Mus musculus: one gene and its partners. The protein of the gene in region 3 interacts with the protein of the main gene of each other region in a pairwise test. Links are inferred from orthologs where the notes say so. Each region holds a gene or a part of one and is shown on either strand. Other genes may lie near its edges.

What was found. The genes of interacting proteins can lie anywhere in the genome.
Region 1: the proteins of Crx (region 3) and Ppp1r16b interact in binary tests that used the Homo sapiens proteins (3 or more experiments, as listed by UniProt). The two-hybrid records come from large-scale screens. The link is inferred for Mus musculus from reciprocal best matches to the Homo sapiens genes CRX and PPP1R16B.
Region 2: the proteins of Crx (region 3) and Abi2 interact in binary tests that used the Homo sapiens proteins (3 or more experiments, as listed by UniProt). The link is inferred for Mus musculus from reciprocal best matches to the Homo sapiens genes CRX and ABI2.

The regions. Positions count from the first base shown.
Region 1 is NC_000068.7:158,752,889-158,757,634, forward strand, and holds part of Ppp1r16b (protein phosphatase 1 regulatory inhibitor subunit 16B), read left to right. Parts: intron 1-2,255; coding exon 2,256-2,381; intron 2,382-2,924; coding exon 2,925-3,000; intron 3,001-4,031; coding exon 4,032-4,161; intron 4,162-4,249; coding exon 4,250-4,418; intron 4,419-4,746. UniProt on the Homo sapiens protein: Regulator of protein phosphatase 1 (PP1) that acts as a positive regulator of pulmonary endothelial cell (EC) barrier function. Involved in the regulation of the PI3K/AKT signaling pathway, angiogenesis and endothelial cell proliferation.
Region 2 is NC_000067.6:60,435,873-60,440,618, forward strand, and holds part of Abi2 (abl interactor 2), read left to right. Parts: intron 1-1,183; coding exon 1,184-1,360; intron 1,361-3,069; coding exon 3,070-3,087; intron 3,088-4,746. UniProt on the Homo sapiens protein: Regulator of actin cytoskeleton dynamics underlying cell motility and adhesion. Functions as a component of the WAVE complex, which activates actin nucleating machinery Arp2/3 to drive lamellipodia formation.
Region 3 is NC_000073.6:15,875,717-15,882,504, reverse strand, and holds the start of Crx (cone-rod homeobox protein), read left to right. Parts: upstream 1-2,549; 5' UTR 2,550-2,689; intron 2,690-6,788. UniProt on the Homo sapiens protein: Transcription factor that binds and transactivates the sequence 5'-TAATC[CA]-3' which is found upstream of several photoreceptor-specific genes, including the opsin genes.

The sequences.
Region 1 (4,746 bases), on a different chromosome or scaffold from region 3:
CTGCAACATTGGTGGTAATAGTGTCTTCCTCATGGGACAGCTGGGAGGACTGAATGACATTCAGCAGGTTTTGAGCACAATTTGAAGACTCAGTATATACTGATAACAATTTCCTTCCCATCTCTGTCTCTGTCTCTCTTCGTGTTCATTAAGCAAATGCTATACTTCTGACATTGAGCCCGTGATCCTTTTGCCTCTGTCTTCCAAGTGATGGGACTCCAGGCAAGAGTCAACATGCTCCAGCAACCTTCCTCCTCCTCATTAGCAATATCCCTAGATGAATCATACTTTTTAGTTCCTGGCTAAGTACCTGCTGTGACCCTGTGCTTTGAGGTATCTGGCTGGCCAGCAGATTCTATTCTTCACAACTGGCAAGCATCAGACATATAAATTAGACGTCATACCATAGATTTACTCTGAAAATTAAAAAGGGAAATCCTGACCTTATCAGGACCCTGGAGCAGCCTCTCCATGGAGGAAACACGTGACCATCAGGGCCACATCCTAACCTGAGCTATGACTTAGGTTTCCCAGTGACTTCCATCACTGACCCTTCCCATCCTCTGGATCATTCCCAGTCTTCAGTTGTCCTTTCTAGACTGTCACTTCTGTCCCTCTCTGTGGCTGAACAGTGGCTTCTCTTCGTCCCAACTTCTCCTTCCTTCCCTCATCCTCAGGACAGACCCTGCTGCCATGCTCACCACCCAGTGCTAAGCACTTTCCTTTCTGAGGGATCAAACAAGTGGGACAACTGAGGTCTGCTGGTGGCAGCCATGACAGGCAACCTCCAATGGTGCTGAATAGAAGAGTTAAGGCCTCAGCCTCAGTGGTGGCTTATGCCTGTAATCCCAGTACTTGTAAAAGCTGAAGCAGAAGAACTGTTGCAAGATGAGGCTATGTTGGGCTACAAAATAAGACTTTTTCTAATTAACTAAATGAATGAATAAATGAATGAATGAATGAGCAAACAAACTAGCTGGGACCTCAGCATAGGCAGTGTGAGTCTTCCCATTACAGTTATCAATTGCCTATTGCTATATGACAACCAACCCTACAGGGTAGATTCTTTATAGTAGAGATGTAGCAATAAATATTTAAAGTTCACTCTAAGCTCCCAGTGGGTGCATGTGCAGAACTGCACATGCCCAAGAATTCTGGATTTGCAAATAAAAAGCATGGACTCACAACCTTTATATTTAATATGCCTTGATTAGCTCAATGGTTGGGCACCTCCCCAGGCTAGCACACACACCCCTCAGATACTCCTGAGTTAACATTTTCTAAATCTCTGTTTTATCTTTGCTGCCCTGTTTCTTTCTGGGCAGCCCTCCCATGGGGCCACTTTCCCTTTGCACCTACATTTTGGCCATTTCAGTCTCTCACTCCTTCGCAGGTGTCATGGTCTATCCTACATCCCTCTCATGGCAGACTCTTCTCCCACTACTGTTTCTTGCCCAGGTATCTTAAAAGTCCCACCTCTGTCCCCTGCCCAGCCATTGGCCACTGGCTCTTTATTGACCAGAAAACCAAATATTGGCAGGGACCCACAAAGGATGTATGGATTCCCATGTAAGCACAAATCTAATTTCCAATATAAACACAACGTTTCTGTGGGAGATTAAGAATGGCTTAACTGGGTGACTCCGACCTGGCATTTCCCATGGGGTTGACCAGGGTTGAAGTCACATTTGAGGTTGGTCTCCTTCATGGTGGTTCCCACGAACAAATGACATTAGTGTTGGCAGCTGGCAGAAGTCCTCAGTTTCTTGCCGCCTTACAACTTCTCCTCAGTGCTACCCGAGGTGGCTGCCTCCTCCCAGATGAATCTAAGAGGTAGAAGCAGCTACACTTTTCATGCTCCAGCCTCAGAAATCATATACTGTCACCACTTTGTAATATCCTCTTGGTTAGAAATGACTCACTCAATCCGTGTATGTTCAAAGGCAGAGCAACCAGATTCTACATTTAAAAGAAAGATAAGTCAAAAAATAGGTAGGTACATTTTCAAATGACCATTTTGGACCTTTGGGATGCCTTCTTCAGGGCTAGGTGAAGAGCCTGTCTCACTTCACCGTTCTACTTCTTTATTTCACACGTAGCAATCCCCTGCAACCTTCCTGGCTGGTGTTTCTACCTCATTCTGTCCCGTTCTTTGATCCCAAGGATGCTCTGAGGCTTCGGGTGAGAAAGGATACTCTGCCTCTAATTGTGGAGCCAGCTCTCTTAGGAATGCCGACTTCTTTCCTCTCTTCCAGCTACACATAGCTGGAGCCAATGGATATCTGCGAGCAGCCGAGCTCCTCCTGGACCATGGAGTGCGTGTGGATGTGAAGGACTGGGATGGCTGGGAGCCTCTGCATGCAGCAGCCTTCTGGGGACAGGTACTTCCCACCCACTGTACCTTGTCAGGCACAAGGTAAAACTGCTGATACTGAGTCCTTTGGGCTGGCATTTGGTGCAGGAGAGCTAGGACCCACTTAGCCACTGGGTACAATGAATGTGGGAGATGAGAAGACTGGGGTGGGTTGCAGACACAATGGCCAATTGCATCCTAACAGGATGAGAATCAAATCTGTCCAGTAGAAAACCCCCTTGGTGTCTGCTTTGCATGGTTTCTCTAGAGTGTTTCCCAGATGTGATTTCAGCCTGTGCAGCCATCCATCCATACCCAACAGCTGTGGAATTACAACCGACTCCTCCTGTTGCTTCTCCTCATAGTAACCCAGGGATGATGGGAGGAGGTGCCAAGCCCATCACTTCTGACAGGGCTCTCTCTTGGCTCCATGGCCCAGGGCCTTCCCTGGGGATCACCTTTCCTCCACCATTCTTTGGGTCACATTCTAAGAGGTCTTGGGCTTGCTCTCCAACTCTTAGGTTTCCTGAGTCCTGGGTATGGGGGACATGAACTTCTTCTTGTGTTGCAGATGCCAATGGCAGAGCTGCTGGTGTCCCATGGAGCTAGTCTCAGTGCCAGGACATCCATGGATGAGATGCCAATAGGTAAGGCAGCTTCATACTTAGTACATACATACTTACCAGTTCTTTTGATGGTGAGTGGACATTGGTTGAACATGTGGCTGCATAGATAGGTAGGTAGGTAGACAAATACATACATGCATGCATACATGCATACATACATACATACATAGATGGATGCATAGTTTAGACAGGAAATGTGATGTGGGATATATTGATGGATGTGTAGGCGGATGGATACATAAGTAGACAGGCAGACTGGGGATGAGTCAATGGATGGATGACCAGGTTAGCCAGTAGATGGATAGAGGGGTTCAGTGGATTGACTGGTGAACCCCTCTACTCAGTGGGGATTTCTCAGCATTACTTCATTTCCTGCCTGTGGAATCTGCTTGTTTCTCTCAATGCTCAGATCAGGGAGACTTGCTAACTCTCCCAGAGACTATCAAGGGTATGTGTCCTCGTTAGCTTTTGTGTGGCTGTGATAAAACACTGACCAAAAGCAACTTGGGAAGGAAAGGGTTCATTTGGCTTACGAGTCCTTATCACAGTTCATCACTGAGGAAACTCAAGGCAGGACTGATGGCCATGGGAGGAGTCTGCTTACTGACTTGCTCCTATGGCTTGCCCCCCCCCAGACCCCCTGCACCACTTTGTTATACAACCCAGGCCCAATTCTCCAAGGGTGGCATGGCTCACAGCAGACGGCCCCTCCCAGATCAATCCTTAATCAAGAAAATGCCCCCATAGACTTGCTCAAAGGGCACTCTACTAGAGACAGTTCCTCAATTGAGATTCCCTCTTTCCAGATATGCTCAGGTTTGTGTTGACAAAACCTACCATCTGAGCCTCTCAGTCTTAGCCGGGAACTTCAGGAGTTAGGAGCTCAAGTCTCTCATTTTCACATCCCTCAAAGGCAATAAGCAGGGGTTGCTTTCCTTGTTCCGTCTGTGCCCCCAGAAGGTTCTCAGAGCTTCTGGTGGGTTTGCATGGGTGGCCCCTGTGGTCCAGAGTCCCTATCCTGCCTTCTGCAACTGATTCTTGTATTCCCTCAGACCTGTGTGAGGAGGAGGAATTCAAGGTCCTGCTGTTGGAGCTGAAACACAAGCATGATGTGATCATGAAGTCGCAGCTGAGGCACAAGTCGTCCCTGAGCCGGAGGACATCCAGCGCGGGCAGCCGTGGGTGAGTGGTACAGGCAGCTGGGGCCCCTGTACATGCCTGCCCATGGCTCCTGATCACAGCTACCTAGCACCTCCTTTGTCCTCCTCAGGAAGGTGGTGCGTCGAGCCAGCCTGTCAGACAGAACCAACCTATACCGGAAAGAATATGAGGGCGAGGCCATCTTGTGGCAGCAGCGGAGTGCAGCTGAGGACCAGCGGACTTCAACCTACAATGGAGACATCAGGGAGACCAGGACAGACCAGGAGAACAAGGACCCGGTGAGGGACCTCCTGCCCTGCCTCAGTGTTGGCCACTGACTTGGGAAGAGAACAGGGCCCAGCTTGGTCCTACCTCCTCACCTGGGGAGCTCAGAAAAGAAATAGCTGGGCGATGCCCTTAAGCAGCTGGCTCCTGTCTGGTGGCTAATGTTAATGTTAAGAATGTGACCCGTGGGTACATTAGTTAGAACTGACACCTTTTCACATGCGATGGCTTCATAAGTGGCAGAGACAGAGACTGCCCTCAGCCTGCCTGTCCCCAAGTAGATCTGGTTTTGAGTTCTCCAGAAGAGAGTCTTGGCAGATTAGTTCCCCTAGGAGCTAAGGG
Region 2 (4,746 bases), on a different chromosome or scaffold from region 3:
TAAAGAATATAAATAAAAATATTATTTGTACTATGAATGTGAGCACTTGATAAATTCTAATGAAATATGTGATCAATGTTGTGTTAATAAGATGTAAGCAACTTGCTGAAGCTAACAAGCTTTTCTGTCAAATGATGGTTTTGAAGGGAGGAGGTGGATGCTGGGAATTACGTCAGGGACTTGTAAATGTTAGGCAAATGGTATACTCCCTCACTCTACCCCTTGATCCCCATTTGTAATATTTATATTTTAGTCTTGTTCCTTCTTTGTAGTATTTAAATAATATTAGATTATACTAATATGTTTTTTAAAAATATAACAAGACTATTCTCTGCTGTTTCTTTGTTTTTTGTTTTTATTGTTTGTTTTTTGAGATAGGGTCCCTCCACATAGTCCTGGCTGTCTTTGAACTCTCTATGTAGAGCAGGCAAGCTGGCCTCAAACTTAAAAGATCTATCTGCCTCAGCCTCTTAAGTGCTGGAATTAAAGTCATTTACCACCATGCCTGGCTTCTTATTTTATTTATATTAATTTATTTATTTTTCTTTTCTGTTGAAAATGATCACTCTGGCTTGGAGAAATGATTCAGTTGCTCCAGTCTTTGCTGCACATCCATAAGGCCTTGAGTTCTGTCCCCAAGCCCATGGAAAAAGATGGGTGTAGTGTGCACTTGGAATCTTCATGCCAGGCGGCAGAAACAAACAGGTGCCTGGGACTAGGTGGTCAGCCAGCTCAGACACATTAGTAAGACCTGTGTCCTAGTGGGAGACTCAAATAAACAAGGGAGGCAGCTTATGGAAAATGATACTCAAAGTGGACCTCTGGTTTCCATATGCACAAGCATGTATATACATATGTACACCCCTTCCATGTGAACACACACACTAGCACCTATATGTGTGTACATATTTGTATAGGTATTTGTGCAGACATGTACACATGCACATTCTAAGTTCTGCTCTTGTGGGCTGTAAAAATCAGGTGATGTTCCAGGTTATATTTGAAGGCATGCTTTGGTGACCCTTGCATTAGGTTAAAAATGAATAAAGACAATAGTCTAGAGAAAAGGTGGTTTATGAAATGAATACGAAGGATTGTTGAATCTCTAGGCATTTGGTTATTATTTATTTGGATACCAGGGCTATCTGTCTTTGTGTTGTCTTATTTATATTATATCTTACAGACAGTTGATATTCATAAAGAGAAGGTTGCAAGAAGAGAAATTGGTATTTTGACCACCAATAAAAACACTTCAAGGACCCATAAGATTATTGCGCCAGCCAACCTTGAGCGGCCAGTTCGTTATATTCGAAAACCTATTGACTACACAATTTTAGATGACATTGGACATGGAGTGAAGGTAGGTGTAGTTTCTGTCAAGCTTTCTAAAGCTCTAATGGAACCCTAGGAAATTAAAGTTCATTTAATTGCCTGAAGGACCAACTCTTGGCACAGTTGTGGTTGTGAAGGTTGCTTACTATTGTTGTGTCCTCCTTATGTTTTCTTTACTGTTACCTTTCAAACCAGTTATCTTCTAATGGTATTTGCTTAGTTAATCACTAGATCAATTAGCGTATGGTATAGTGGTTCTAATCTTTTAATGATTTAGTAATGATAGGAAAAAAATCCAGCATATTATTAAAATGTTTTTCTTATCTCAAAAATATGTCAGCAGATTTTTGGCATTAGTTTTCAGAACAGCATATGTTACTAAATATGAATTTGAATTTTTTTCTAGAATAATTTTATCTCAACCTTTTGGATGAGAATAGTGGAGCTAAAAATTGTAAATTTATTTGTGGTGACTTTAAATTTATAACATTTTATATTTTGGTCACCTTTTAAAGATGCATTTGTGTATCTAGTATGTATATGAAGTGGCATCATCAAAGCTCTATAGTATTGGGGATGTGGGGCAGTAGTAGAGCAGGAGCTTTCTCACACACAGCCCCGCGCTCTAGCACTGCGAGTCAGCACACCTGCTAGCTGTTAGGGGGCAGGGGGGACAGTGTTCTTCTACTGAGGTGATTCTTACAGTTAAGAGACCATTCAGAGCTTCAGCTAAGTACATTATTTACAGTTTATATTTTAGTAGTGATTGTCAAATTTACATAAGTATGACTTGCAATAATTCTATACCTATCTTATAGCTATATAATTCATATATATGATATTTTTCTAATATAAGCCTATTTAAAATGTACACCACCATTTTGGTCAGAAATCAGTAAGTTTGTGTGAAAATAAAACATGCAGTATAAATTTATAAAACAACTTTTATTTTAGAGGGCTTTTGATTTTTTTTTTTTATTTTTTTAGATAGATTCTCACTCTTTTGGCCTTGGCTGGCCTGGAACTCATTGTGTAGGGCAGGCTGGCCTTGAACTCACAGAGATCAGCCTGCCTCTGCCTCCAGAGTGCTGAGTTTAAAGGTGTGTACCTCTATACCCCACTTATTGAGAGTTTTGAAAAAGCATAATTATCTGGAACTTGATATTTAATTTTATAGTTGATTCCTATATATGTATTTCAATGACTAATTAAAGCATATTAAAATAAGATATGTGAGTAGATGGATAATTAAACTGTAATTTGTTTTAACCTGGGGAAACAAGTTTGTTGTTGAAGACGTACAGGTGCTAATAGAATGTTATAGGCTGCTACCAGAATCTGTTGCCAAATGATACTTGGAATATAGATTTGTGTTTGCCTGTTTATATAATAAAAAGGTGATTTTTTTTGTATAATTAGTTTTTAATACTTAAAATATTTTTCTTTTAGGATTGTACTCTCTGTTGTTTGTACTGTAGTGTTCGCTAATTTAAAGAACTCTTTAACGGAATTAAAGTTTTGAATAAAACAGTCTTATATCATCAACGAAACTTCTGTCCATGACACATCTGCTTTAACCACTCTTTCTATAATCTACTGAAACATTATTTTGTTAATGCTGATTGCTTAACTTGTTTTTCTTTGTTTTCTTTTTTTTGTCTTCACATCCTGAAGTTCCAACTAACCTTTCAATGCTTTTCTTCCTTACCTCTTTATTTGCTCCATTTATGCATTAAGTGGTTGCTTAGATTTAAGGTAAGAGATTCCAGGGCTGGATTTCCATTCTATGTTCTTATGTAGAATATTACATATGGGGAGTAAAGACATATTTTCCATTTGGCCTTTTAAAACCAACAAATTAGTTATTTATTTATTCAGGTCTGACGACTTTATTGTGTGTCTTCATGTTTCCTGAGGGTAGATATTTTTGTACATTTTGTTCATTACCCTGTTCTTTGTGCCTAGAACAGTACCAAATACACATTAGGTATTAGTATCTCAAGTATTTGCTGAATGGATGGGTGCTTTTGTGAAACTGAATTATAAATTGTATTGTTATAAAGTGTTAATAAGATGAAATTGCTAGATTTTTTTATAAATGTTGAAATTTTGTTATTGATTGGAGGGCCAACTAATATGCTCTATTTAACCCTCCCCCTGTGTAATAACTTTTTATTCTATAAATGGTGTGCTTAATTATATGGTTTGTTGACAGTATGTCATTATCTTTTGACTTCTAATTTAAAAGTTGAGAAGCAAAAAAATATGTCATAATGCCTTTTTTAAGTTGCAGTACATTTTAGAAAGGAATTAGTCTTTTTAAAATGTTTGTATAAAATATACTTCAATACAATCTCACCGTCTTTTTAAAAGTGAATATTATTTGTATATAGAACATCCAAAGTTTATGATAATGCTTAAGAAATACAAATTAAGAACTAGAGAGGAGGTCACAGTGCTAGAACACTTGCCTAGAATGTACAAGACCCTGGTTCAGTAGAAACCAGTAAACCTACCAAATAGAAATCCCACACAACCAAAATAAACCTGGTGCTGTTTAGTGAAGGGGCCATGATGAAAGCATTTCGGGTGGTTCAGGAAGCCTGTCAGATACTAAGAGGATTTTCATCAGTTCTTGCCATTTCTTCTTTCTTTTGTTTTTTATCAAGTCAGGGTCTCTTTGCTGTCCTGGAACTTTTTCTGTCTAGAGACCATGCTCAGCTTCAGAGCCCCACCTGCCTCCGCCTCCTGTGTGCTGGACTAAAGGCCTGTGTCCTGCTGCCCAGCAGCCCATCTCTTCTTCCTTAGACAAGTTGTCTGATTTCTTTTCAAATATGTATTTGCTTTGCAGTTTGCTATATCTTTGGTGTAGTCAGTGATAATCAGGAGATAAGATGACTGTATTACTTAGTATTAACCATGGCCACAAAACTTTTGCCTGATCATGGCAGGTGGTTCTGAAAAAGGAAATAAAGCCACTGGAAAATAGGTTCTAAGCTCTTACCTTGCTGGTAACCCAGGAATTTGGAATTGTGGGAAGGTTTCTTCTGTTTAAAACGGCCAAATTACAGTGAACTAGACTAAAAAAAAAGCAGGCAGTATTCAAATTTAGTTCTTGCTCTGTTAACCTAAAATGTGGTGACAGAAGAAATCGATCCTTTGCTCTTACTGGCTAGCCTGTTGTCCGCCATCTCCCATGCTTCTTTGCTCTAGGATTTGCGGTGTCTCTCCCTTGACTTGAAAGTCTGCTTCACATAAGAGAAAGGTCCCCTGAGGGCTGCCTAAAAGATCTCACAGGAACTATGCTGGAAGAAGATGCCTCAATGTTTTGTTGGTTTTGTTTGTTTGTTTGTTTGTTTTCCTCTTAGAACCAGAAAGTTTCACAGTAGAATCCCAACAGATTGTACTACTCTA
Region 3 (6,788 bases):
GTAAAAAGTACTTGCCACCAAGTATCCCCAGGTCCCCATGGTGGAAGAATAGAACCGGCTTCTGCAGGTTGTCTTTCGTCTCTTCCATGTGAACATCCTGCTTTCCACAAACAAACAAACAAACAAACAAACAAACAAACAATGTAGTTAAACCAATTCAGACATGTCATGAATTCATAATTATGGATGAAAAGACAGTCCCTATAGAGAGGGGACACATTTCAATTATTTGGGTAGAGGCATCTAGAGCTAGGGTGATCCTGAGGGAGAGCCAAGTTAGGTACCCCCCCCCCCACACACACACACAATGTAGAGATTGAACCTAGAACCTTGCTCTTGCCAGGCCTTTTAGTCCCAGTCTTTCAAGTTTTCTAAAACAAAAGCAAAAACAAAAAAATCTAAACAAGGTGGGGCTTGTTGATGCACGCCTTTATTCCCAGCACTGGGAGGCAGGGGCAAGTGGATCTATGTGGGTTTGAGGCCAGCCTGGTCTACAGAACAAGTATAGGACAGCCATGGCTCTTTACACAGAGAAACCCTATCTCGAAAAAACAAAACAAAACAACAACAATCCCAAACAAAAAACAAAATACGGACCCCCTCAAAACAACAACAACAACAACAACAACAACAACAACAACAACAACAACAACAACAAAAATCAACCCTCCAAAACTAAACCAGAAAACCCGCTCGTCACATGCATTCTGTAGGACTTTAGGCTAGAAATCTAAAGATGAGGCCCCTGGCCTGAAGGATTGTTTCCTAACCCCGTCTGCATAGTTTAGCCTTCCTACTGGGCTGAGCAAAAACGTGGGCCTGAGCCTCCTGTCAAGCTTCAGAGAGCGTCAGACAACTCCTCCTTTGTGTCATTCTACTAATGAGATCTGCTCTGATTCCCTTTCTGGCCCAGAGGCCCTAATCTCTCCTAGCAGGGGGCTGGGGATAGGGGACAGAGGGGAGGTCCCCTCCTGACAAGCAGTGACCCAGTGGTGAGCAGGGATTAGAGTGTGCGTGTGGCTGTGTGTGCCTGTGAGTGCACGGCCCGGTGTTTAGAGAAGCAGAACCAATTTGAGTGGGGAATGGGACTCGAAGTGATATTAATACCTAGAGAGATGAGGGGAGGGACAGAGGGGGAGGGAATTACTGAGGGGGAGAGAGAGATGGCAGGAAGATGTGTATGCGTGGAGTAGCAATGGAACCTTCATTTCAGCTCAAGGATTGCAGGAAGCAAGCAGAGGCTCTGAGACCAGGCTGTAGCCTCAGGCTTAGGTGGACAGGCAGAAGGGTCTCAAATCCAGGAAGGGACCCACAGACAGTGGCAGAACGACAAAGGAGGGAGACACAGAGGGAGACAATGAGAGAATGCAAACTTGCCTTACAAAGGGAACTAGGGACAGAGTCAGAGACAAGGTGAAGGGCTGGAGGGATGGCTCTGTGGTTAAGAGCACTGGGGCTCTCCAGGAGGACCAGGGCTCCATTCTCAATACTTAATGGTGGCTTATAACCTGTAATTCCCGGTCCAGGGCATCTGATGCCCTCTTCTGGTCTCTTCAGGCATCAGGCACTCACTGTGTGTGAACACGTGGGTGCAGGCACAATATCCATGTATGTATAATCAATAAACAAATCTAAACAAGAGAGACACAGAGAGAAAGAGTCAGACATACAGAGACACTCAGAGATAAAAAGACAGAGAGAAAGAGAGACAGGGAGGAAAAGAGCCAGAACCAGAGCTGCAGAGAGACAGCCAGAGACAGAGAGATAGCGGGAGACAGAGAGTAGAGGTAGAGTCCGACACAGATGGAGACTAACAGAGAGACAGAGAGACAGTGGGAGACAGAGAGTCTAACAGAGACACAGGCAGAGATTGACAGAGACATAGAAACTCAGGGAGAGGCATAGAGACAAAGACACAAAGAAACTCAGAGAGGCAGGGTCTGAAATAGTGATGAAGATAGAGAAGCAGAGACTAGAGGCAATGGAGAAGATACAGAGCAATGGGGAGACAGAGATATAGAGAGCCCTGAGGAAGTGAGGGAAGAAGGGAGAAAGACAGAGAGGCACAGAGAAAGAGAGAGAAACTGAGGCAGAAAAAGGGAGAACCATCAAGAACTACACATTTGAATTAGTTCACTCAGTGGGGTCACAGATCTCTCTTCCCAGTTATTCTAGCTGTGTCAGAAGACTTAAAAGTTCAATACTAGCCTGGGCCACAAAGAACAACCCAGGAAGTCCTGTGCCTTTCTTTTCTGTCTCCCAGGAGCACTGTACACTTCTTTCTGTGCTTTTGAAGACATTTCTTTTCAGATAGTAGCTGAAGCTGGAGGAATACCCTTTAGACCCAAGGAAAGACTTCCCTGAGAAGTGGGGGCTCCTGGTTGCAGGCAGGAGTTGGGCTTTCCCTCCCTTCTTCATCAACCCTAATTGCCAAGATGTCACTGTGGGGGTGGTGGGATTAAGCAGACGGTGCCCTTCCCCCAGCCAATGTCACCTCCTGTTGCCCAGTGAGTCCCCCACCTTCCCTGGGATTACCCTTCCAGATCCAGGCCACAATAGATGACATCACTCCCAGCCCAGGCTTAAAGTCGCCCCGTGTGAGGGGACCTATTTCCTCTAGCCTCTGCTGTCTGATGACACCATCCAGTACCTGAACATCCAGGAGAGTCCCCATTTCTCCTTTCCAAAGGTGAGTCTTTCCAGGAGAGGCTGCGAGAATATTTTATTCTCACCCATGTTTGACATGAAGATGGGTCTTGTGATGCTTTCTGAACAGATTAACATAGGGTAGAGATTCCAGCAGGTGTTCAGGGAAACAGGTCACTTAGGACCATGATAGGAGGGAGTAAAGTCATACCAGTTGGGGACTAGTTGTTGGGATCCAGGAGTGGCTTTAGGATGAATGGATTTTATACTCTGAGGACATTCAGAGGTGGAATGTCTCATCTAAGCACACATCCATGGTGTGTGAGCATGTTCATGTGTTTGTGTGTATGTATGTCTACAATGTGTGTGTGTGTCCATGTGAGAGAGCAACCTCGGAGGACAGAGATAGACATACTGGTTGTCTTCCTAAATACTTCCATTTGCTATTTTTTCCTAGACCTCTCTATGTAGACCAGGCTGGCCTTCATCTGATGGATCTTCCTGCCCCTGCCACCCAAGTACTTAAGGTTAAAGGTGTTCACCACCACACCCAGCCTATTTCAGACAAGGTCTTTCACTGAACCTGGATCTCCCTGTGGAGCAGAGGCTGGCTGGACAGTGAGCCCTGTGTATCTGTTTGTCCCTGTTCCCCCAATGCTGGGGTTATAGTGTGCCCAGCTTTTATCTGGGTGCTGGGGTTCTGAACTCAGATCCTCACGTATGCACAGACAGTGCTTTATCTGTTGAGTCTTCTCCCCATTCCCCCGAAAGAAACCTTTTACATTTAATTTATGTTTTTTGAGAGGGAGTCTTTTGGAGCATAGAGTGGTCTTGAACTTGTTCCGTAACAGAGGCTGGTCTTGAACTCCTGATCCCGTGTACTACTGCTCCCGCTTGTTTTTTTTTTTAACTCTTTGTGATTTTTCTTCTCTGTTTGTAAGGTATATATTCATTATATAAGTATACATGCATATATATTTAGTGTGTGTGTGTCTTCTGACTCCTTTGTTGAAGTCAGATGACAACTTGCTGGAGTCTGAGTCAGTTCTCTGCTTCCACCATGTTTGATTCTTAGGAATCAAACTCAGGGTTTTAGGCTTGGTGGCAAGTGTCTTTATGGTTGATCCCTCCTGTGGCCCCTGAGATTTCCTCTTCGTTTGTGTATATACCAATACATAGATCATCTCTCCCTGGAGAACGCTGGTTCTTTTCACTGCCTGGCACTTGGGTGCTATTTGACTGTTGACAGGATGGATCCCTGTCCTATTAGATTGTTTATTAGTTAAAACACGGGCTGGGGCTGTAGCTCAGTCAAAAGATAAGCGCTAACATGTTCTACACAGCTATTTGCTCACATACAAATGGGAAAAAAATTACACTTAACATTTTTCTCTTTTTTCAAAACTATTTATATTTTTATTCACTTTACATTTGGATCACAGCTCCTCTCCCTCCTGTCTTCCTCCTCACATATCCCTTCTCTCTTTTCTCCTCCCCCTTCTCCCTCAAGAAGGGGAGACTCCCTTGGATACCACCCCACTCTGGGACATTTCAGCAGTTCTAGGAACATCCTGACCCACTGAGCCTCATCCAGGGAGTCCAAACAGTGGGGAAGGGGATCCAATGGCAGGGAACAGAAACCGAGACAGCCCCTGTTCCACTTGATAGAAGAACCACACGAACACCAAGTTGCACATTTGCTACAGATGTGTGGGTCTAGGTCCAGCTCCTGCATTGAGCTGAACATTTTGAGGCCAATGTGGCTGCTAATTTCTGTTCAATGCCAGCTCAACATAGTAAACTGGAATTCTTTCTCTGAGGTCGAGAGCAGGGCTGATGGCTAATGTTTCTAAGGACGCAAGTTACAGACGTTGAGTTTTGAAGGAAAACACCAATATTACTGACATTTTTTTGTTTATTTTTTCCTCAATGGCTGAGGCAACTCTTGTAGTGTCTGTGGTCCAAAAAATTACAGAGACATGTAGCAGGACATAGTGGTATATGCCTTTAAATTCTAGCATTCGGAAGGTAGAGGCAGGCAGATCACTGTTGGTTTGAGGCCAGCCTGGCCTACAGAGTAATTTCTAGGCTAGCCAGGACTTCATAAACTTTATATCAAAGGGAAACCTTGTCTTTATAAAAATGTGGGAGTTGGCTGGCTCAGTGGTTAAGAGTACTGGCTGCTCTTCAGGGAGACCTGGATTCCCATTCCAAGCACCCACAGGGGGGCTCACAGCTGTTTGTAATTATGGTTCCAGGGCACCCAATACTGCTTTCTGGCTTCTTCTGATGGTACCAGGTGTGTTTGTGTTCATAGAAATACATGCAGACAAAACACTCATATACAAAAACACCAACACAAAGAGAGTAACAAAAAAAAAATCCCAGAAACAGCAAAGTTTGATATTACTGTTGCATCTGTCTGTCTATCTATCTATCTATCTATCTATCTATCTATCTATCTATCTATCTATCTATCTTTTAAAAAGATTTATTTATTTAATTTACTTTTATGGGTACACTGTAGCCGAACAGATGGGATTGAATTTTTAGGATCTCTGCTCCCCAGTTAACCCTGCTCTCTCTGGTCCAAAGATTTATTTATTATTATACATAACTACACTGTAGCTGTCTTCAGACATGTCAGAAGAAGGCATCAGATCTCATTACAGGTGGATGTGAGCCACCATGTGGTTGCTGGAATTTGAACTCAGAACCTTTGGAAGAGCAGTCAGTGCTCTTACCTGCTGAGCCATCTTGCCAACCCTGGTTTTTTTTGTTTTTTTGTTTGTTTTTTGAGACAGGGTTTCTCTGTGTAGTTCTGGCTGTCTGGCTGTCCTGGAACTCACACTGTAGACCATAGACCAGGCTGGCCTCGAAATTCACCTGCCTCTGCCTCCCAAGTGCTGGGATTAAAGGTGTGTGCCACCACGCCCGGCTCTGGTTTGGTCTTTTGAAACTGAGTTTCTCTGTGTAGCACTTGGCTGTCCTGGAACTCATTCTGCAGACCAGACTACTTCTGATCCTTCTACTTCCACCTCCAGAGTCCTGGGATTACAGGAGTGCGTCATGATGTTACTGTTTCTTCTTGTGTGTGTGTGTGATGTATGCATGTAAGTGTGCGTGTATTTTTGAATACGCCTGCATATGTAGAGGACAGAGGATAACATCAATGTTTTTTTTTTCTTTCCATTTTTTATTAGGTATTTAGCTCATTTACATTTCCAATGCTATACCAAAAGTCCCCCATACCCACCCACCCCCACTCCCCTACCCGCCCACTCCCCCTTTTTGGCCCTGGTGTTCCCCTGTTCTGGGGCATATAAAGTTTGTGTGTCCAATGGGCCTCTCTTTCCAGTGATGGCCGACTAGGCCATCTTTTGATACATATGCAGCTAGAGTCAAGAGCTCCGGGGTACTGGTTAGTTCATAATGTTGATCCACCTATAGGGTTGCAGATCCCTTTAGCTCCTTGGGTACTTTCTCTAGCTCCTCCATTGGGAGCCCTGTGATCCATCCATTAGCTGACTGTGGGCATCCACTTCTGTAACATCAATGTTTACCTCCATTCCCTCTGCCTTGTTGCTTTCAGACAAAGTCTCTCAGTGAACTAGGCACAGGACATTTTGACAAGGCTGGCTGCGTAGCTTGCTCTTGGGATCCACCCGTTTCTGCCCTTCCTAAGGCTGTAGTTACAGGCACACAAAGCCACGCCTGGCTTTTTACATGGTAGCTACAAATGTGGACTCAGGTCCTCATGCTTTTGCAGTAAGCACTCTTGTCCACTTAACCATTTCTTCTGTTCCCACCCCACCTTACTTTCTAGACAAGGTCCCATGTATCCCAGGGTAGCCTCTAACATCATAAGTAGCCTAGAATGTCATTGACCCTCCAAGCCTCCACCTTCTGAACTGTAGAATTACAGGTGTGTGCCACCATACCCAGTTTATGTGATGTTGGGGACTGAACAACAGGGGCTTTGCACATTCAAGGCAGGTACTGTACCTGCTAACCTGTACCCTGAGCCTCCTGTTGTCATTGTTGGATAGGGTCTGCTTACGAATCCCAGGTTGGCTTTGAATTTGAGTCAACCCTCTTGCCTCAGGCTCTGAGTGCTGGGGGGGGGGGGCAGATGTGAGCAA